3 linked regions of the Alligator mississippiensis genome follow. The protein of the gene in region 1 purifies or fractionates together with the protein of each later gene. This does not show direct contact. Links are inferred from orthologs where the notes say so. Each region holds a gene or a part of one and is shown in the gene's direction. Other genes may lie near its edges.

Region 1 (8,194 bases):
AGGGCATATTGTAGAATGTAAACTACAGCTTGCAGTCTTTTACATCATTTCAGTTTTAACATAGTCTTCATGAAGTTTCTATGGTAGGAAAGTATTATTGCTGTGAAAACAAAAGCTAATATGCCTAGTGCATTTGCAAAGGCATTTCTCATTCCTGAGGTTAAACTGACATCTACTGGTGTCCTGTAATAGTTAATATACTAATAAAAGCAATTAATTTAATTTACAGGAATCCATTATAGTATTTTTTTTTTACCACGAATGAAATATTTCTGGTTTAGTTTCATCATATCTTTCCTCGCTTTGTTTTTGTACCAATTGACTTCTTAAATTTCAGTAAAAACAACATTCTAAGAAGTAGCCACCTCATGTGGAGAATGATTTCCCTTTTTTTTTTATTTTAGGAAATTGTGTATAGGTCATTTTATAAGAAAATGAGTTGTCTGAACTCTATAAGCAAGAAAAACTTCAGTGTTCCCTTCAGTGAAATACACACCACTGTAACAATTTAGAGCAGGATAAGATCTCAGAAATACCTATTTTCTAAAAACATGCCAGGTGGTCTGGACTATTGATATCCAGCTGAGATGCGGGATCAAATAATATACTTAACCCAGCTGTAGCTAAATCAGGACACATTGGTTAAGAAAATCCTGTTCAGTTCTTGGAGAGGGAAAAGTGTCATGATATCATAAGATCTTCCTTCCAATAACAAACCATAATCAAGATGTCTGTTTGTCTCATCTGAAAGAGCAGTGTAGTATTCTCAGGTTTCATAATGAGGTTCAGTCCTGGATGATAGGAAAGAATGGGGAGTATTGAATCATTTACCTGCAGGAAAGCAGATTTGTTTTTTTTGTGGGTTCTCATCAAGTACTCACCAGATCTAATTGTGCTTGATTTGAGATTATTTGAACACAAAGCCTTGGAGAACAGAACTGCAGGGAACTCAGCAGAATAATGCAACTGCAAAGCATACTATTAGAAGTCCTGTTGCCATTTTGAATGTAACTTTACTCTTACTAAATTCTAAACCTGGCTCCAGGATGCATTTGTATGAATGTTTCATGCAGTTAACTCAAGACCAGCTCCAAGATTGTGATCTCCGTGTATGACTGCACCCACTTCAGACAGGGCTGAGCCTAAGTCACATCTAAATCTGGGTGTGATCCAGAAACTAGGTATTCCTCCACATTGGCCCCCGGAGGACTTGATCTCAGAGCACACCTGTAAGATTTGGCTGCTAACCAACAACTGAAGTTGCAGATACCTTTCTTTTACAGTATAGATAAAAGTAGTGATGTTTGGAGCACTCCTTAGAGAAGTGGTGCAGTCAGATTTAAAACCCTTCCTAGCTGAAAGGGTTCAATCCCTATGTCCCAGGAGAATCCCCATAACCCATGTCTCAGGCCTGTTTTACCAGGCCATAGGCAGTTGGGCATTCCTTTTCCTGAAGCGATGCCAATGTGCAGAAAAGAATTAAAGCTTCATTAGCTAGAAAGGGAAGAAAAAGGGAGCATGACACTAGACTTGTGATAAGTATACTCACCAGGGAGACCTGGAGCCTAATCCCCGAATGACAGTTGCAAAGGAGGTGCAACAAGTGTTATTTGGCACAGCAGTGTCCAAATGAGATGTGGAGGTAGCTAACTTGGATACATCAGCTAGGGTTTGCCAGGAACACCTACATACCTTATACAGGCAGTCCTCAGACTTACGACACAATTGGTTCCTGAAAACCGTGTCTTAAGTCGAAACGTTGGAACTAGTAACCAATTTTCTCATAAGAAACTATGTTATAAATGGGGGATTGGTTCCTGAACCAAGGCCCAGTACCCTATTTTCACCAAAAATACCCTAGAATTTTGTATTCGATCAATTATAGATGAGTAATGTAGCTACATTAATATATTTATATTGTAAATAACAATCATAATGATTTGGAAGGACTTCCTTGAGGTGACTTTGCTGGACTCTTTAAAGGGCTCTTGGTTGGACTTTTTGAAGGGTTCTTGGCTGGAGTCTTCTCAGGAGTCTTGGCTGCAGGTTTTTCTGGAGTCTCGTCTGCTTTCTTAAAGAAAGTGTCCAAGGAAGTTTGGACAGATGTTCTCCAGGGAGATGAGTGAAGCCGCGAAGTTGTTCGTTGGCATGGCATTGCATTGGATCAAGCGTTGCAAGTCAAAATTGGTGTTGTAAAGTTGAAACAGGGTGTCAATTTATAAATGTTGTAAGTGCAAAATGTTGTAACTCAAAACGTTATCAGCTGAGGACTGCCTGTACATTTCTGGGGTGTGGCTCACACTTAAGCCCAGCAGAAGCTTCCCGGCTTTGAATTCAGATATGATCAGTGCTGTGAATTAAAATTGCAAATTCACCAGAATAAGCTAAACAAGTTGCTTGAAATCTGTAGATAGTAAAATCAGTAAAAATGTAGATGGTGAAATATTACACGTGGTAAACAAATGCATGCTCCTCAGTATGCTTCGTTGCATTGACAATATGTTGTCATTAGAAGCCCCCAGAGTCACTAGATCTACTGACAAAAATCACTGAATTGGCAACGTTAGAAGTTGGGTGCAAATTACGGGGGAGCTTGGGGAGGGGAGGAGGAGGCAGACACTCCCCATAAGAGACAAGAGCCCCCCTGTACGATTTGAAAATCATAACCTGGGGGGGTCTCCAATTGGATTGCTCCTTCCAATGAACCAGTTTAATTTTTTTCGCAGACCCCCCCCAGTCAAAGTGTAATCTGAACCCTGACTAGAAGTAATGGGTGCATCCTCCTGCAGCCAGAAGGAAAAGCCTAAAACCCTGTGAAGGGATGGAAAGTAAACTACTCTGCTGTCTCCAGGACTCCTGGGGGCTGGTTTCATGCCTCCCCATGCAGCATGCTGCCTATTGTGAATCCCATACTGAGGTGCAGTTCTCGGGCACTGTACAGGCAGTCCTCGACTTACAACATTTTGAGTTACGTTTCACACTTATAACGTTAATAGATTGACACCGTTTCAACTTTTTGACGTCCGTTTCGACTTTACAACACTTGATCTGACCTGACGCCATGCCAGTGAACAGATTTGCTGTGCCGCCCATCTCCCTGGAGAACATCTGTCCAAACTTACTTGGATACTTTCTTTAAGACAGCAGACAAGACTCCAGAAAAACCTGCAGCCAAGACTCCTGTCAAGACTCCAGAACCCTTCAAAAAGTCCAACCAAGAGCCCTTTAAAAAGTCCAGCAGTCACCTCAAAAAAGTCCTTCCAAATCAATATGAATGCTATTTACAATATAAATATATTAATGTAGCTATATTACTCATCTATAATTGACTGAGTACAAAATTCTGGGTTATTTTTGGTGAAAATAGGGTACTGGGCCTTGGTTCAGGAACCAATTCCCCATTTATAACATTGTTTCCTATGGGAAAATCGGTTCCGAGTTGCAACGTTTCGACTTAAGATGCGGCTTTCAGGAACCAATTGTGTTGTAAGTCTGAGGACCGCCTGTATAGGTACTTTATCCAGAGCAGTGTATTGAACTCCAGGAGCAAGAAGCTCAACCTTTATGCACTGCAATATTTAAGTCCCTCCAGCCTTAAGTTCCTCCAGTCAGGGTCAGACCAGTCTAGTTGGGGTCAGGAAGGAATTTTACACCATGGTCAGTTTGGTATGTTTGGGTGGCTGTTCCAGGAGCCTGGGCACAAATCCAGCTTCGCCCTGATAACCTGCCCAAGGGGGAGAGGTTGGCCTTCCTCTGTAGCAGGGCGGCACGGCTTTCTCCTTGGGATCTCTTGAGCATAAAATGACATTCCATAGAAGTAAGACACTGGCTACCATGGATCCCCTGCTTTACCTGTGGCACAGGTTACGGTGTTAGGTCTGTGCTGTGTCTTTGTTGATGGTAGTCTTAAATAAAGTTTATATCAGGGGTGGACAAAATATGGCCTGTGGGCTGGATCTAGCCTGTCAACATACTTGGCAGGCCACCAAACTCAGTGGATCTGGCCTGCAGCTGGTGGCTCCAGCTGCTGTGGTTCCAGGTGGGCGGGTGGCACTGTTTCTGCCCAGCAGCATCAGCTGTGGACTCAGGTGAGGCCTTCTACCGCAGCAGGTGGGCAGCAGCATCAACTGTGGACACCACCGGCAGGTTCAGGAGCCCCAACTGAGAACCTGCTGGTGGATGCACAGCTGATGCTGCCACCTTCCCAGCACAGTAGAAGCTCCTGCCTTGAGCCCCAACCAGGAACCTGCTGCCAGTAGCAGCTGTGGACCCAGGTAGCAGCTTCAGTGGCACTGGGTTGGCGGTGGTGTCAGCTGTGGCTGCTGCCGGCAGGTTCTGCATCAGGGCTCTTGAATCTGAAAGCAGTGTCCACAGCCTGCCTGCCCACCATGGCAGAAGTCCCCATCTGGGCCTACAGCTGGGCACTGGGGCTCCTGGCAAACTACAGCTCACACGAGGATCTGGAGGGAGGGAGAGAGAGGGATTAGGAGAGAAGAGCGAGACACAGAGAGAGGGATGCGGCCCTCAACGGGTCACCAAGACTCATGAGTGGCCCCACAGCAGAAATACCTCCTCCCCCCTAGCTTAGATTGTGAGTTGTAGGGGACGGTTTGGATAGGGACAAGAATGCTCCTGCCTCAGGCAGCGGGTTGGACTAGCGGAGCCCTGGAGGGCCCTTCCCGCCCCGCTGCCCCAGGCTCGCTTTTCCGTCCTGGGTTAGAGGGAGAGGTGCCGAGAGGAGCGTGGCTGCTGCCTGGAGCCTCGTGGCGGGCCGGTTCCCCAGCGGGGGGGGTTTGACTACTACTGTTCGTGACCGGGGTTTAGTTGCAGCCGCTGGCTTCCAGCCCCGCGGGGAGCCTTCCCGCCCGTCTCCAGCCCCGGCCCGCGGGGCCGCCCCGAAGGACGAGCGCGCCCTGTGCCGGCCCCGGCCCGGGGGAAGCTGCGCTGCGCGCCGCGGCGGACCAGCGCCGGCCTCGGCGGAGGGGAGCGCAGCGCAGCGGAGGCCGGGCCGCCCCGAGCCCGCGGAGACGGGGCGGGCGGCAGGGCACTGGCCAAGCCTCGGCCCTGAGCCGTGGCGGGGGGTCGGGTCCGGCTGTCCCCCCGGGCCGGGTTATGAACTTCCCCCCCGCGCCGGTGGATCCCGCCGCCGGGGGAGGGGGCCGGGCAGGAAGGGGCGAGGCGAGGCGGAGCCGGGCCGGCCTTGGGCTGCGGCAGCTTCGTGGGAGCCGGGGAGAGACGGTGGGAGCCGCGAGCCCGGCAGGTAGGCGCGGCGCGGCGCCGCCCAGGGCCTCCCGCGGGCCGGGGCCGGGGCCAGGCCGGTGTCTCGGGCTGCCGTCGGGGGGGGGCGCTGCCCGCGGCCGCCGGCTCCTCGGCGCGGGGCTCCGGGCTGGCAGGCGGCGGAGGTGGCCCCGCAGTGACAGCGCCGAGCCCCCCGCGGCGCCTCCCCCCGGGCCGGGGTCGCTGCCTGCGCCGAGCCCCGCCACCCGCTCGCCGCCCGCCCCTCGGAGCTGGGCCGCCCGACGCCTCCCCCGCTCGTAGCCCCGCTTCCTGAGCCGAGTCACATGTCGGGCGGTTGTTTTCCCTTGCGGTCCTTATCGCTAACTCCGAGCTGCCGCCTGCGTGGGGCCCCGGACATGGTTTAAAGCGGGCTGGGGGCGCCGGGCTCCCCCGGGAAGCCTTGGACGCGCGTCGGCCCGGCGCCGGGCTCGCCCAGGAGGGAAGCGGGCGCCGCTCACTTGGGCTTAGTTCGGCTGCTCGGGACGAAGTGACCCTGCGGCTCCTTGGGCGTTTTTTAAGGAAAAAGCCCCCCCTCGCCCCCCCATAGTTGGCTCTAATTCCAGAGAAAAACCTTGGCCTGCAATTGGCCCTTAAACAGCCCAGTTCAGAAGTGAGTCACCAAGGCAAGGACCCAAAGGGGGAAAGGCACTAAAAATACTAAAGTGAACATTGAAAAAAAATGTGACTTGGTATTTTTATTGCATGTACAAAAACTACTGGAAGTTCAAAAGTCAAGACTGGGAGGGAGCCCGATGTAGACTGACGGTGTGCCAAAGTCAAGTTCAAGTCTGGGTTTTTAGGAGGAAAAAGGCAGACTTTTACCATCTAAACAATAGGGGAATTTGGTGCTCAGGTTTAATGAACTTTAATTAACAGGCTTTAAGGTCACACCTTCAGTTAATTCAACTTCACTTTTCCAAGCGACTCAGTGGACACAAGCTCAAAAAGAAGCAAAAGTGACTAGGTCGTGTACGTACCTGGTTGTATTACAAGTGCAAAAACGCGGGGCCAGAAGCACAAGTTTCATCAGATAACATTTTAATAAGCAAGTAAGATATTTTTAAGAGGAAGTTTTGAGATAGGAAGCTCAATAATAGAAATCAAATAACTGATATATTTTTATTTTTAAAATGCACAGTGCTGTTGTTCCTGTATCTAAGCTTACAGAATTCTTTAAATTATTCCATTTATTGCTTCTCAAATAACATCATAACCTGCAATGTTTGAAACCAATACCCAAAGCCAGAGCAGAATTCCAGTTATGCCAGTCATAAAACTTCTTCAGTAGGACGCTATATAGGATCCTGCTTTTGAAGGGCATCGCCACACCCAGAGACCTACTCAAATTCACAATTTCATGGAACCTGTGAAATTGGGCATTGTTCGTGAAATCCTCTAAATTAAAAAAAATCCTAAAAATAAAATGCTGGCCTCCCAGTGGGAGGGCAAGCTGCTGGCAGGCAGAGTGGTCCCTGGGCTGCAAGGGGGGGTGTTGGTGCTTCCCTCCACAGCAGTGGTGGACCCCCTCCAGGAGGCACCGGGCTCAGGTGGTCCCGGGGGTCACTGCAGCCGTGGAGGGAAGGATCAAGTCCCCGTGCAGGCTCTCTGGGAGGGTGTGGGGAATCAGGCTTACCGCTTTTCTTTTCTTTTTTTTCTTCGGTGGAGCCTGTCTTTCTGGGCTGCTGCCTGGCTGCTTACACGAACTGCCTGCACAGCCCCTGAGCCGCACGGAGCCTGGTGCTTCGCTCCATGGCTGTAGGGCAGCAAACTAAAACTCCTTGGAGGTGTTAGTTTGCTGCGCCCCAAAGTCATTTAAGGTATATTACGCCACGAAATGTGCTACAGCAGCTGGAATTAACGCACAATACGCCACTGATGTGTGCAAACACCAATGCCATTAAAGCGGTGCAAAAGCATTTAACTTGCTTTAAAGTGTCGTGCACACATGCCCAATAGCAACTGCCTGAAAAGGATTCTGTTTAACTAAGTAGTTGACAAGTTATGGAAAGCCTTATTGTTCAGAACATGAAAAACTTTATCTGTACAAGTGTTTATTAGTTTGTTGCTCTTCTACTGAAAAATTTTGGGTGCCCTGACAAACCAGTATATATAGTCTGGTGTCAGAGGGAAAGACTAGTTTATGTCTGTGTTTTCGTAAGTGTCACTAATGACAATGATGACACCTAGATACGTCTGTGCTGCACTGTGGGGAGGGCCACGTACATAAGCCATGTGCATGTTCGGGTGACTAGCGCAGGACTCACTAGTGAACAAGAGCCTGAGTAGTTGAAACCAAAACAGAGAAGGGCAGGTCAGACATTCAGAGGTCAAGAGGAGGGGGCAACCATTCCCCCCCACCCCGATGGATTTGAGATTCACTTCATACTAGGAAAATACTTTGTATTTTTTAGATCATTCTCTTGATTCTTTTCCTTACCAAGTATACAGGTGAGTTTTATTTCTTCTACTTTTTCACTCCAAGCAGTGCCTGCCCTAGTTCTGATAAAAGATATAGGTTTCCTTCACTTTATGTGGCTTCTGTATGTGCAAATTTGCTCTTATGAGACTATCCTTTTTATACCAACAATTTGTTACATGCGAGGCAAATTCATTCTTATGTGACTGGTGTTGTGCAAATGCACAGTCAGCTGCCATGTGCAGTGCATCGTGGGAGTGACGCACAGCAAAATATAGTCTCCTGTGTGGATCTGTGCTCCTTGCTTGTCTGCCCCACGTGTTTCTGTAGTTGCCTTCCCCATTATGATAGTGCCATGTGCTTGTGTGCACTGTCTGCTGTTAGCTAGTACCAAAATTGTCTTGTAAAAGTGGTAGAAATGGGTCTGGGGGTCAGTACAGTCAAGGTCTTGGAACATATCCCTGTTTGTTACATTGTAAAGTGGGTTCGCTTTATGCAAAA
Region 2 (7,413 bases), on another chromosome or scaffold:
TGCTGCCAAGTCAAGCAGGGTTTTTTAAATTTTCCTCACAGTAATGTTTGATGAAGTCCTGACTATTTCATCTGATTACAGCAAATTCAGCAAACAATTCAGCATCAAATGCACCATCTTTACATGTGTACCTACAACCCTTCCCAGCCGTGGTTGTGTCATTTGATGGTGGGAAGATCTGGGTAGCTAATTATCTTGCCCCTTCCCTCCCCAACACTTGCACCCAAATCAAAGGCTTGGGGCTCTTTTCTCTGTTTAATGGGGAAAATAACCTTATCTTGGATTTGAATAAATATGGTAGATGAGCTCTAAACCAGGCATGTGAGAAAATGAAAGTTTATTAAAGCAACTCTCCTTAATCTGAATACTGGTTGGTATAAATGACTACTACTTACTTATAGAGCAGTTTAGTGTTGGAGACATGGTATACACAACTATATGACAAATAAAGTCAGACAAGGTTCTTTGGGTGAATCTGATATCTTTTATTAGACCAACTTAAATAGTTGGAAAACAATTATTAGGCAGGCTTTCAGGTTCAAAAACCCTTTGTCAGGCTAAGGAAGTTTCAGCAGTTGGTGTGTGTTCTTCCTGGATGGAATGAAAAGTAAAGAAGCCAGCAGCTGGGCTGGTATGCATGCAAGACAGGTAGTCAGTGAAAATGTAGATTGAGGAGTCAATTGGTGAGAGATGGGCTGGGGAGGGGCAGGGGAAGAGAGAGAAGGGGGATAAAAGTGGAGAGATACCTGGGAAGTCAGATGTCAGGCAGATGATAATGTGTCATAAATCCAATGTCTATATTTAGTCCATGATTTTTAGTATCCAGGAGGTTGATGAAGTTGAGTTCATAGGCTCATCTCTGGGAAGTGTTGTGTAAGTTTCCTTTGAGGATCAGGACTGAGAGATTGGGGAGAGAGTGGTTTTCTTGTGAGAAATGTGCCCCCACAGGTAATTAGGTATTTCTGTCTTTGGTAGATTTCCAGCGTGCGTTCATTCTGGTGCGCAGTTATTGTTTGGTCTCTCCTACGTATTTTCCATCATGGCATTTGGTGCATTGGATGAGGTATATTCCATTTCTGGAGGTGCAGCTGTAAGATGCAGGAATGGTGATGGCTCTGTTGTGGGGTGTAGTAATTGTGGGGGTGGTAGAGATGTGTTGGCAGGTTTTGCATTTCTTGTCATGGCACGGTTTGGATCCTTTTGGTGTGTTCTGGGCTTGAGGAAGTTTGCTTCCGGTGATGAGGTTAGCGAGGTTCGGTGCTTGTTTGAAGGCTAGGATGGGTGGCTCTGGGAAGATCTTTTTAAGAATAGGGTCTCTTTCTAGTATGGGTTGCAATTGTTTGAGGATTTTCCGTACAGGTTCAAGGGAGGGGTGATATGTCATAACCAGCGGTGTGCGATTTGTGGGGGTTTTTCTTTTGTACTGCAGCAGTTCTTTACGTGGTATCTGGGTGGCTCTTTCAAACGTGCGATCTCTCTCTCTGGAGGAGTGTCCTTGTTGGGTGAAAGCCTTTTTAAGATTGGTGAGGTGGAAATCCCGGGTGTTCTCTTCAGTGCAAATTTGGTGGTATCTGAGGGCTTGGCTGTATATCACAGCTTTTTTGGTGTGTTTAGGGTGATTGCTGGTTCTGTTCAGATATGTACGTTGGTCTGTGGGTTTCTTGTATAACGTGGTCTGTATTTTATCATTCTGGATACTGATCATCGTGTCTAAAAAGGAGACGTTGGTGCTGGAGCATTCTAGAGAAAGTTGGATGGAGGGATGGTGATTGTTGAATTTCTGATGGAACTCAGAGATCATAAGTTTTCAGTCCACATGATGAAGATGTCATCGATTATATCTTAAGTATGGCAAGGGTTTGATGGTGCAGTTCTTGAGCAAGTCTTCTTCTAGGTGGCTCATAAAAAGGTTGGCATACTGTGGGGCCATTTTGGTGCCCATAGCTGTTCCCATCATGACAAATAAAGTAGCACTGACCAGTATTATAAGTGTTGCAAACATTCCTGAATATGATATTTGAAAGACTGATCTTTAGCATTTCCTATTGACTTCAGCAGGCCAGAATTCTGCATCAAGAGCCATATAATTTTGGTCAACTAGGCCATAATGGAGGTCCTTTTTTAAATAGCTAAGTTGACTAAAGGACGTCATGACATTTGGCTTAAATTTGACACCCTAGTTGGTGAAACTACTGTCAGCTTACTTCTTCTCCCATTTTACCATAAGTATAGGGGAAAAAATATTTAAAATTGTATAGGCATGGAGAAGGGGAGGGGGAAATGTTGAGCCTAGTACCATCCCTCAGATCTTGTTTCGAAAACGGTTGCGCTCTGGTAGGTATTTAAAATGCTGTTTTTCTTTGAATTAAAATTAATAAACGTTAAGGTGCTTATAGAACCACTTTTGCTTCTGTAAAAAATGAAATCTTCCTGCTTTCCTTCAAATCTTGAGACTTGAGGAAAATAAATTGCTTGAAAACTAAACATAGCTTTCTAAAGCTGTGAACAAAAAAAAGCTTTTGGGGGTCTTTGACCTCTTTTCCTCCTCTTAATGTTCAGTTTGAAGAATTCTGGTTAGTGATACCTGAAAAATAGCTGAACTATTGTATTTTGTTGCCTTTTTTATGAATTAGCTAGCATGTATGTATTGTTGCATCTGTCAACTTTGGATAATGAAAGGGTTAAATGAGCCCAGGAGTATTATTAAAAGATAAACTTGTTTCATTTGAATAATGTACTACAGACACTTAATTACTGGTTTCTTGTGTTGGGAGAAGGTAAAATTTAATTTTATTGCATGCAGACTGAAAATACTGTAATGGTTAAGTAAATATTGAGTAAGAAAAAAAGCCATCAGTATGACCTATTAAAATATATATATAAATGGTCTAGTGTTCTCTACTGTTTGGACTTTATCAACAGCAGTAAATAATCCCATGTTAGCATGGTAGGGTTTAGCACTGCATGATGCATGGCTTCTGTATTCAGAAGTACTTTCATGAACGGACGTTTACCTCAGACGCTCGTAGTAACAGTAAGAGTGTCAATTTTAAAAACCTCCACCAGGTGCCAGCAAAGGGCCTTTTTGGTCTACATGATAAACTGAAACACTCAGAAATTGTCCAAGTTAGTTCAGTTTTACATTTTTGGAAAATACTGCCAATATGTTTTTGCTTGGTTACAGATGAATTGTTATATAAAACAATCACTTTTACATGAGCTAACTGTGAATATAACTTAAAAGTCTGCATACAATAATTGTTATAGTGTAGCTTGGAAGCCATCTCTTTCCTGTCGGTTGTACCTATTGGATTGCACACTTGTACTGCAATTGGGAGGGAAAAAATACATTGTGAAATTCAGATTTATGTCTGCTTCTGGATGAATAGCTACAAACAAACTTCAGGAGTCGACATGCCACTAAATAACCTGGCTATCTAACCTTTTTTAAATATCCAAAGAAGCTAGTGCCGATCAGGAATTGCTGGCCAACAAACCGGATATTTCAGTTTGAAATGTATGGATTAGGAAAAGTGGATGATAATGCTAACAAAGCACAGCTTTGACTTGGAAAGGGGTTGGATGTACACATTTCAGAAAAACATTTGGAACCTTGAATGGTAAATTATAAAGTGGACAGTTTTATACTTAATTTTAACTCTTCTGCATCTTGCTTAAAACAAAAAGCTAACTAAAACGGTAGAGGGCTCACCTAATTGACAATCAATGTTATGTATGATTACTGAGTAACTTTAAGATTCCTGAAATAACTTCTGTTTTTTTAACCTTTTATTAATACAAAATTGGTTAGTTTTATCGGCATATGCCAATATTCAAACTTTCACAAGTTTTTTAGCATGGCTACTATTTGGAAATTCAATGCTAGATTTGGTACTCTGTTATATGGGACTTCATTCCTACCAACTTCCTGTAATTCTAAACCTCTGGGTAAAAATATTAGTAGTCATACGCTGCTGAGGGAAAGTACGGACAAATTGACTCAGCTAGTGTAGCTGCAGCAGGAGTTGCTGTTTTAAACTTGAAGCATTAGGAGATTATTCTTGAGTTGTATTCATTTATGCAACTTACAGAAGGTATAATTGCAATACGCTTGGCAGTATTTGTCAGAATGCGGCAGCTGAGTTCAGTTTAAAGGTCGTTGGAACTCAAGTGCTTTGTGTGTATGCTCTCTGACTACAAGCAATCAGACAGTCCAGAAACTGCATTTCAGGGAATGGATGATTTATTCCAGGAGGTAATTTTTGTATAATAGTTAGTATCTTGTAGAATTTCGTACGAAGTCTGCAACCTTAATGGGCTTTTACTTTTGTGATGTACTTGAACTGGATCTAGATTCTATGAAGTTGCCTTAAGTTATTCTGCAGAAGGAGCTTTATGGTTTTCATTTGCTAACATGTGTAGAAATGAGTACAGATGGCACGAAGGTTAAGATTGCATTTTGCAGCCCGAAGAAGCAACACCGATCCACTGTCAGAAACCTCTGAAGATGACTTGGATAATAATATTTATATGCATTTCAAAAGATCTTCACAGAATTCTGCATCTAATGTCATAGAAATGAAACTGACTCCCAGGCAAGCAGTCTTTCCACCTGTAATGCAAGAAATAATTAATCAACAGCAAAGCGCAAGTGGTTCTTCGCTGCAAAAAAACAACAAAAAGAGCACTTCACTTCAGATTTCCCTGCAGTCTAGAAAGTACAGTGGATGTCTTCAGTCTGGTGATACAGTGGCTACTAATGAGGATTCATCATTCACTGGTGTCGGCAATGAAGGAAACTGTTCTGGGAGAAATATTGCTGATTATCCATCTAACATGATAAATACTACCAGCCACTTGAGCAGCACTACCATGTTGAATGGCAGTCTTGGCAGTATTGCAGCCAGTGACAATGGATCCTTCAGTAGTGCTGGCAGTGACTATGGATCATGCACAAGTACCACAAGTGATGGAGGTTCACACTGCAACAGTGTCCTTAGTGACAATAGTAGTTGCGCTCTTTCCACAGGTGATGGTATTTTTTATAATAGCATTGTGTATGATAACTCTTCGTATAGAAGAACTACAAACAAATATAATTCCTATAGGAAAGATGCATCTCAGGAATGTTTGTGTCGAAGTAATACTATTTTTGACCAAGATGGTTTGGAGCAAATGAAATTGTCAGCAAGGAGGAAAACTAAAGTTCCACTAAGACGTTGTTCATCATTGGTAATTTTCCCTCGAAGCCCTTCCAGTACTCCACCAATGTCTCCAACAAGCTCAGGTCCTCCACCACAGAGTGTGGCATATCAGACCTCACATAAACTAGTTATTTCTCCAAGTGACCTAGCACAACATGAAAATCAAACTGGTAATAAGGAGTTTCTTTCAACAGCAGTCAATGGACTTCGACTCTCTAAATCTGCTTTTTCTCCTGGTGAGGTTAGAGAGATTAGACCACTTTACTTGAATACTTCATTACAGGCCAAAAGTCAAGCCACAGATAGTTCTGAGCAGGCAACTTGTGAAGAAACATCTGATGGCTTCTCTTGTATTTCAGTTCACCTTACTCAAAAAGTATCTACATCAAGGGATGAAATGGTTAATAGTTGTGGCAGTCCAGAATCAAATCTGAACTCTAGTGCAGAGTGCCCTCATTTAAAACTGACACATAGCACATCTGCGTGTTTACCCTCAAAAAGCCATTCAGAATATCGGATTAATGAAAACGAACTAAAAAGACCTAATATTCAAATGAACAAAACCCACCATTTTCTGCAAAGAAGCATGTCCTTAGAAGGTTCTTGCCAGAAAGTTTCTTGCTATTTATCTAGCCTTAAATACAAGTGTCCTAAGGCAGGGGCATCTCACTTGCACATACAGTTTCGACCTGGGAATGAAGGAAAAACTAATGGCTTTAAAAAAAGAAATGGAATTTCCAAAAGGGAAATGTGTAACAGGACTTTGTGGAAGCCCCTCAAGGTGAGTAGTTTTAGATTAATGAAAAACTGACAGGAATCTTTTCCAGGGGAATTGTAATTAGTAAATTGTTAAGCTTTCTTTTTCCCTCACAGCATGAACACAAGCCTTTTATGAATGTTTATATTCTTGAAACAGTTTGCAATAGTGTATTTTTAACCTAACTTTCAGTTGATCTTTCCTAGTGTCTGGCACTTTTGGTGAAAATTCTTATGGTGACATGCTTCAACTTTTAAATCCTAACTCATTTCCTATTTACTTGGTTTTTCTTTCCATCTGGTAATTAGGTCTTAAAGTTCTCCTAGGGTTAGCTCAGATCTTATTTTAAGCTTTAAATGTATATGTTTAATATATAGAAATAATTTTACTGAAATATCTGGACCTAAAATGGTTAAGAATTAACTAGAGTACTGTGGAGTCCTTCAAATTTGTTTCATATAAACTTTATTTTGCAGAAACAGCTTGCTGTCTGTAGAATTAAAGATAAGTAATATTTGAACAGAGGAACTGTAAATACCATTTGTTTCTGTTACACCCTGAACCACAGGAATTTTAAGAGTTTCCTCCCCTTTTTTTCTCCAACCACTAGTTCAGCTTTAGCTGTGCACTTTAACTTAATATCTTTTCCAACAACATTGCTGTCCACATTATGGTACTTGGCTTTGGTAGTCTTTATATTTAAAAATATTATTTGGTAATAAAATGTGTTTAAACTTCAGAAATTTGTTCATTTTAATTAATTCATGATGTAGCTTTCACACACAGGCAGGTTACGCCACAAGAAATCCAGAGGTGGGTGGAGAGAGTATCATCTGCTCTTTTACGTCACTCATCTTACAAATCTTCAAACTGTACAGTGTGCTTAGTTGTAAGCCTATGCTGGCAAAAAAATGCAATAATTTGACACCTCTTGCAAAAACGCATGACCTGAAGTTATAAATAAACGCTAGTTTTAATTATTTTTGCTACCTTGTTGATGTAAGTGAAGGGAGCTGCCAGTGATTTACCAATAGTGCTAATCTGGAGAGTCAAAATAGAATTTCCAGGCAATACAGTCTTGTGGACCTTGTTTATTTCACTGTTTTCAAGGAAATTATTGCTTAGTTAGTGCCAATATCAAGAGTCCTTTTTGTACTTCTTATTAAAGTTAGTAAGCGTAAAGTGAACACTTTATGTATATGTATACATATGTGTGTTCACTTTACGTTTACATTAAGTGTACACTTTTTATATAGATATATAGATATTTGTTTAAATTGCATCATCAAAATACAATGGAACAGAATCTGTGTGTGTATTGTTTTGGAATATCTTTGGGGAGACAGGGAATGTTCATGCCAGCACTGCTATTTTAAATATTTTGTTTTCAAATATTCCTTAATGTACCTACTCTTTTGTAGTTTGACCATATTTATTATAAAGTAGCCAATT
Region 3 (7,678 bases), on another chromosome or scaffold:
CTACATTGTCTTTTTATAAAAAGGTGGGGCATTGGAGGGCAGATCATAAGGCACAGTGCTCACATACCTGGACGCTCCCCCTCCAGTGGAAAAACCTCATGTTCAGGACTTGTAGGAACTGGCTATATATGCTTGCATTTATGATTTCACTGATATTCTCTGGCTTGCCCTTGGCCAGTTTAGGACTCTGTAATGATCCAGACTACTGGAAGTCTTGTTGCTTTAACAGCAGAACAGGTACTACACAAACATGTTAAACTCCTGGTCAGAAATAAACCCAATGAATTCATACACAAGGTGGCTCAAACTCCTCAATATAGTTAAATTTGGAATTTCCCCTGAATCTCACAGATGTGTCTTCCCAGTGTGGATTATCTTCTTTGTGTTGCCTCAAGTAGAATATTGGGAATAGCCCACTATATTCAGAGGAGTATTTGTTCCTTGGCTACAGTATTGGGAAAGTTTTCTGAAAATGCACAGTGTGTGTGGTCTACCTTTAATTCAGTTTTACAAAGTGTTCCTTGTGGTGAATAGTCACCACATATAGATAGATGAACAGAGGGTAAATAATAGAAAGACAGTATATTTCTGAATGAAAAATCTCAGAATCCAGGCCAAAAGAGAAACAGCCTCTTAAAAATCTGTTTGGTGCATCACCTGTTAGGATTTGCAGCTGCAGTACTAATGAAGTCCCCAGAGTCCCATCAGTCTGGCCATCTAGGGACTTTCATGGTCCAGTAACCATGGAGCCTCCTATGCCTGGTAGGATAGCTCTCTTGGTATGCAGTAGCCACATCTCTCTCCTTTGGAGTTTTCTGCTGGAACAGGAAAGTAGCATATAGTATGCTCTATTAATTGCTGTATATAGAAATATAATATTGAAACTTAGAATGTTTGCTGCACATTTAGGCATGAAGCATTCTTGCACTTGCACATTAAGCGTAATTGGAGCTGGGCACAAAGCTTTTTGGCCTCTCATCCTTATGGTTGTGGTTTAGTTATTTAACAAACTGCAATAAATGGCTTATGTCACCATAAAAGTAATGAATGTAAAGTAACACTGTTTGTATTTTCTGATAGGTAAACCCAACCAATCATCGACTCCTGTTTGAAGTGTTTGATGAAAACAGATTGGTGAGTATAGTCCTTGTACTGCTCTTTGTATTTTTATTAAACACAAAGTGAAGCACAGGAGTGCCACTGGCTTCCCGGTTGGTGAGATTGGCTGTGGGGACCCCCCCAGTGATTGACTGGCCACTGGGGGGGGCATGTGCCTCCCCCACTCTGACTCAGGTGTTACCAGTGGCCCATGCACAGATGTCACACAGCTTCTTTAAATTCTTGGATACTTTGACATATCCTAATTCAGGGCTTGGCTACTTTTTAGGAGTGGCATACCAAATTGACAGAGCTCTGTTCATGGGGGGAGGAGGGAAAAGAAGGTGCTGCTTCTGACCCAGCAGCTGCCACCACTTCTTATTTACCACCACCAAATTACTCCTGATTCTCCCTGATGTCTTGGCTTTGCAGGCTAAACAAAATCTCTTGAGGAGGTTGCTGACCCCTGTTCTAATTAAAAAGTTCATATTATCTGGGATGTTTCAGCAGCTACACCAAGGAACATAAAATGACGCACATAAACCAGGACATCAGTCTGTTTTACAGCATCAATATTCAAATTTATTTTCCTGTACCAAGGTCATCTTTTGCAATGGGGAAGTTATAATGAAAATTCTAGCCTTCCAAGCCTTATGAGCTGCTCGTTTTGATAAGATTAAATAGCTGTCACTCTTTAATAGGTATCTGTGCAAAAATCTTTATGCTTTGGTTCTGGGGAAAGTAGAAGAGATTGGTGCCATATTATACTTTGTAAACTACTAAAATAAAATCCAACACTTTTAGCACCACTCTCCTGTGTTATTACATAAAATGTTCATTTTGCTCTGATTAGGATAAGTACATTGTGTTTCAGCAAAATGTGTGTACTATATTGGGATGAGTGGGAGGGGAAATAAGTTTTGCTAGGTAGTTGGAATATGTTTTTATTACTTTATGAGATCTTTAACATCAAAACAGATCATTCATAGAAAAGCAGTTTCTTTTTTCTTCCCTATGTCTCCATTAACTGTAGTGCAAGATAGAATATACATACAGACTCTTAAGGGGAAAGGTCTAGGGAATATTGTAAGGAAGTAACCCAACATAGGTATATGGACTCTGTGGTTGTTGGTGTGCATTTAATCAAAAGAGAAATTGGGATCATCTGTTATACAAACATAGGCCACCTCCCTTTGACCTACAGGAGATTCTTAGTTAGATTTGGCTAGCTGTAGTCTTCTTTGTAGGCTAACCAGTGGGTGGGACAACATCATAACCTTTTGAATGGGTCTTATTCCAGGCAGCAGAGGGCAGTGTTGTGCAGAGTCAAACCAGGCAGAAGGCAGGGCAGAGTGTCACCGTATAAACTAATTCAGAGGCATACGTTTTTGTAAACAATAGCTTACTTCATCATATGCTATAATTTGGCTGGACATGATGCCATTCTCAGCATCTGACAGTAGAGTTGTTGCTTACAAAAGCTTATACCTCACTTAATTTGTTAGTCTACACAGTGCCACTCTGCCCTGCCTTCTGCCTGCCTAATTTGGCTAACCGCCTCCTGAAGTCAAACCAGAATGCAATAGTTTAGTGGCAGTCACTTAAAAGGTATTTTTCAACTGTTACTGCAAAGCAACATTTGAGACCTTTCTCTTGCTTACGTTTCAGATATTATGTTTGGTAACTTGGGGTGCTTTTTTAGATGGAGCTAATGTGCATATGTGTGTGTGTGTGTGTGTGTGTGTGTGTGTGTGTGTGGTGTATATATATATATATATATATATATATATATATATATAAAACAAAGAGCACTTATGGTTCAGTTTATCATAGTGTTAAGTTATGTGCCTAGGCTGAGGGTGCATTGAACTGAATTTTATTAGATTGATTTCTATGTTATGACTATATTTTGGGAGCCAAAACACTTATTTTTCTATGTTACAGTTTATTTTGGGAGTAAATAACTAGTATAAAGCCTAATTTTGTCAGGGTTTTTTTTTCATTTTTTGGTTCAACTTGTACCATAGCCACCACAGAACTGTGAGATTGGAGAAGGTTGCCCCTGCTACCCAGCCCTGCCACAACCAAAAATATTTGGTAACAAGTTTTTAAGCATTAGTGCAAAAAGTCTTTGTCATCCAAATAGTCTAAAACCTTCTTTGTCATCTGAAATGTGTATTAAAATAATAATAGCACCTGGGATTGCATCAGGCAATCTTCAGTACTGTTGCTGCTTAGAAAATACCCATGTTTTTCTTGTTGTTGGCTCATAGTCCAGTTAAAACAATAGAGGATTGTCCTGGCCCGTGGCTATTTTGTCATTTAAAGTAGCTTCCATTTCTCCTCTAATTGGTCACTTTCTGTTTTTGAAAGCAATCTGTTGAAAAACAGAGGTTTAATGCCTAAGTGGGGGGCTGACCTACCCCCACAAGTTTTCATAGCTGTTGACAAAACTAGTGCTTTTCAAACAAGTTCCCTCTCTGCACTACTGAATGGGGGATACTTTTGTTTCTTTTTGAAGATTCTTTTTAATTGGTTGTTGTATGAACCATGAACAAGTGTATTAAAACTCCAGGGGCCCTCAAATGTGCTCCCCCCCTTTTTTTTTTTTTTTTTTAAACAGTGAGATTCTGGAGGGCTGATTTTTAGGGGATGTTATAATTTTGGGTTGTATGCTGTCTGTTCGTTGTTCTTTGAGCTCTTTTGGCTCTTAGCAAGCATAACTGTATTCCATGCTGGCAATCAGACTCGTGGTAATATTGCTAACTTTCTCATTGGAAGTCTGCCAGTGCTGGGCAGTGTTTTTGTACGGTGTTTAAGGGAAATCAGGACAAAGCTACATGCACACCCGTCTCCAGTTTTCACTCATCTTTGCTGCCTGGTAAATCCGAAAAAGAAACTGTCTCCTGCCATTTTGCTCATTTCTGCTTCTTGCGTTGTGTGTGAAATCCTTGTCATATGTAAGGTTTCTTTATTTGTTGTAGTTTTTATGTAGCGAATAAGCTGTACTGAGTAGCATAGGCTATGCTGTGTTTACAGTGGCAACGTGGAACTTGTGCCCTTTTCCAGAGAAAATAGTTTGTTACTTAAATCATTTTAAGAACAAGGAAAAATCTAAAGCATAACCATGCACTAATATTTATTTATGTTCTACCATGGTAGCCTAATGTTGGAACAGACACCACCGAAACGGATCAAGCCTGAGTCTGTCTCTTCCCTGAACCCTTTTCTACTTGCCTATCTGCGTATGACGTTGACTCAAACTTTTTAACACTAAATTAGAGTGGTTTTTTCTTTTCTAGTTAACTCTCTCTCTCTCCCTCCCTCTCTCTCTCTCTGTCTCTGCTGAGTACAAAAGTGCCCTGTGAATATTATGTGGTTTAGATTTATAGCAGTGCCGAGTGTGTTTGCTGCCTTAGTCAGCTGTGAGAGCTCTCCCGCTGGGGCCGCTCCTTTCTGATGGAAAAGGAGCAGCTGGGAAGGTGCTGTTTCAGGCTCTTGCTGGTATTAAAAAAAAAAAAAAAATCACTAGCTTGCATTGGAGAGGGGGAACCAGGTCATGTGATTCCAACCATCCTACCCTATGTGACAGTGTGTAGGAGCGCTGATTGCTCTTATCCAATCATGCCTGGAATGCTGCTTGCCACTTGGGCTATTTCTGCTATCTGTCGCTATCAGTGCTGCAGTGCTAACAGTTTGGCAGATGGGACACTTTTTCTTGGAGTTTATGTCTATGGTTTTTAACTTCTGGCAGTTCCTGAATTGCTGCTGTTTTCCTTCTCCTTTTTCTCTCTCTGTAAAACCATGGCCCATCGGCTGCGGTTTCATTTTGGCTCTGGACGAAGCAACACAGCCCCTGAATCGGAGATCCTAGACCGCGAAAGAGAAGATGACTTTTTCATGGCATTCCATACTTTGCCCCGAAGAAACAGTCCTCATCCTTTCTCCCGACATGGAGCGGATTATGGTGGCAGCGATTTACAAGAAGTGGGCACCTTAAAAAGGAGCACGTCCATGTTTATTCCTCAGCTGCTGAACAGTATTGATGTGCGCCCAACAAGGAGCTCATCTATGCACATTTCCCTTCAGCGCAAAGCGGTGAATGGCTATGCTGATGAGTGCGGAGCCCCAGATTCTCCAGATGAGACGCTTCCATGTAAATTCTCAGACTTTAGGGAGAATCTGACATCACCCATGGAAAGTTGTTCTTCCTCGCCAAGCAGTCCAGAAGTGACACCAGAAAATTCACCGCCCAGGGGGCCTGAAGAACTAGGGCAGCAGGTTAATGGAGCTGCTTCCTGTAACCATTCAATATTTTGTACAATTCCTTCCAGTAACCAGAGTGATGCTGCTGCATCTACTGCCCCAGATGATGAGGGAAGTGAAGCAGCTTCAGGTTTAAACATAAGTGGTGTACGAATTCAGCATCGTGCTTCCAGCGCCGATATGCATCAGGTAACACTTTTGCCCTTTGGGTCTGAGGCTCAGCACAATGTTCCTGCCTCTGAACTGAGGCGCTGGTCTTTGCAGCATCTGCCAGATATGTCAGCAAATTCAGGAAAAAAGCTTTTTGTTCTCCAGTTGCAGCAGCCACAGGCCAGTGGTACGGGTATAGGAGGCGATTACAATTTTGGTTTTACTGGAACAAAAGGAGACAGGTTGGTGAGATATCCCCGGATACGGCTGGAAAGGAGCACTTCCTACCCGGTCCAGCCACGACCAGAACAGATTAGCCCTGTGGAAGATGGAGCAAATTCAGAACTTCATGGAAATGGCAGAAATGGGTCAGAAATATCTAGAAGCAATTCAGTAGAAAGGATTCCTCAAGGACAAGGGGGATGCACGTTTAAAATCAGACCAGATCAAAACACAAGGCAGCAGCATTTCAGAATTCTTGTAACCCGTGGTCCTGAAGAACAAAATCAAGCTCCTGCTCAGGAGAGCCCTGGTACACCTGGTCCCACAGCAGCCAGGGCCACAGTAAGTACCTCTCTGAATATGCTTCCCTGGTAACCTATACAATCTAGTAAAGCTTCTTCATTTTCAGATAAAGATCTTCACTCATTTAGTACGAGAAGGCTCAACATTTCTCTGGAACAGTCTGTAAAGCATCTTTATTTCTAACCTAAAATAACTTTTGCTCCCAGTGATGATTACAAGTGTAATGTTTTGTTGAGATCCTAATGGCTCACATGTTGCTTAACTCAGTGTGACGTCAGCTGAAGAGACTTGGGATTGGGAGCCTGTGTCACTGTTCCTTAATTGCCTTAGCAGCGTGCTAGTCTTTGCTGTGCAAAGAATTCCTTTTTTTTTAAACAAATATTACAGTGCTTTCTGAATATAATATGTATACATACATACACATACCCACAGACTTAACATGAAAGCAAAATACACTAATAGCTTAGGGCTTGGAAATTACATAGTAAGTTTTGGTAAGGAAACTAATTTTGCTTTCAAACTATGAGGGGGTTGGAATTGTTTTTGTTATTACAAAAAATACTTTTGTACTTCATCTTTTCTTACACCAAAAAAACCCCAAAAAACAAAACTTTTCACATATGCCGTTTTGTGCTCTCTGCCTCTTCAGTGTCTAATGAAATGTGATCAGGCTACTGTAAATGCGGTTTTCACATCACTAAGTAACGTCTCGTTTTGTACATCTTGGGCATATAAGTGTCTCTTAACAGCATCTTGGGTATGATGTTGCATTATAAAGTGAAAAATTGTCTTATAATGCTTGTTTCTCATATAATGAGGGAGAATTTGTGTTTTATGTTATTTTAAACAATTATTTTAAAAACCCAAGCGTGGTTAAAGCTGAAGGGGGTAGAGGAGTCATTTGCTTGAATTGCTTTATAGTGCAATTTAACACTGCCCACTTGAGTTTCTAAGCTTAATGATGCTGTATATAGAATAGTAAGTATTCTATCTCCAGCTGTGAAAACAGCCTCGCTAGAACAATTTTGGCCTTTTATTACTTGTACACTGCCTTATTCTCTCACACTCTCTTTCAGTTAAACGTAGCAGAGAAAGACAGCTGCTAAATGCAGCAAGGCCATATGATGACTCTGCAGGTTTTATAGCAAAAAACAAATAGTATGGAAGTTATTCCAAGATAGCCATCTTTTTAACACTCCAGCACCCATTAGGAATACAAGAATACTTGTCCTCAAAGCTCTAATTCAGAACACAAAAACTTCTGTTCAATTTGTGTACCAGATAAAAACCCCTTGTATATGTATTGATTAGTGTCTTTGCTGGCAGCTTCTGGATATTTTGCATTCTGAATTCTCCTATTGAAAATATCTCTGGTGTTTTCCTTTCATTAGGAGTTCACACATGCTCTTCAATATGTTAAATAAAATGTTACTATTCTGTCACATAAACATTAAGTGTTTTTCCTTTTTTTATTTTCAGAAGTTTTAATCTGTAATAGTAGGCCTGAACTGCATACATATTTGGATACCGATTTTCCTTGAAATTTAAGGATGTTTCAGTGCAGGAATTTGGGAGAAAAAGGGCGAGTTGTGAAGCTCAATCCAAATTAATCCAGTTGTAATTTTTTGTAAATTTGGGG

Evidence for each region.
Region 2: the proteins of LITAF (region 1) and NEDD4 purify together in Homo sapiens (co-immunoprecipitation; 4 studies listed by BioGRID and IntAct, counting the BioPlex papers as one, with this or other methods). This does not show direct contact. The link is inferred for Alligator mississippiensis from reciprocal best matches to the Homo sapiens genes LITAF and NEDD4.
Region 3: the proteins of LITAF (region 1) and NEDD4L purify together in Homo sapiens (affinity purification with western blotting; 3 studies listed by BioGRID and IntAct, counting the BioPlex papers as one, with this or other methods). This does not show direct contact. The link is inferred for Alligator mississippiensis from reciprocal best matches to the Homo sapiens genes LITAF and NEDD4L.

The regions. Positions count from the first base shown.
Region 1 is NC_081836.1:39,426,286-39,434,479, reverse strand, and holds the start of LITAF (lipopolysaccharide-induced tumor necrosis factor-alpha factor), read left to right. Parts: upstream 1-4,996; 5' UTR 4,997-5,112; coding exon 5,113-5,260; intron 5,261-6,212; exon of another isoform or gene 6,213-6,326; intron 6,327-8,194.
Region 2 is NC_081834.1:25,833,930-25,841,342, reverse strand, and holds the start of NEDD4 (E3 ubiquitin-protein ligase NEDD4), read left to right. Parts: upstream 1-4,377; 5' UTR 4,378-4,434; coding exon 4,435-5,985; intron 5,986-7,413. UniProt on the Homo sapiens protein: E3 ubiquitin-protein ligase which accepts ubiquitin from an E2 ubiquitin-conjugating enzyme in the form of a thioester and then directly transfers the ubiquitin to targeted substrates. Specifically ubiquitinates 'Lys-63' in target proteins.
Region 3 is NC_081826.1:283,190,020-283,197,697, reverse strand, and holds the start of NEDD4L (E3 ubiquitin-protein ligase NEDD4-like), read left to right. Parts: upstream 1-4,642; 5' UTR 4,643-4,902; coding exon 4,903-6,078; intron 6,079-7,678. UniProt on the Homo sapiens protein: E3 ubiquitin-protein ligase that mediates the polyubiquitination of lysine and cysteine residues on target proteins and is thereby implicated in the regulation of various signaling pathways including autophagy, innate immunity or DNA repair.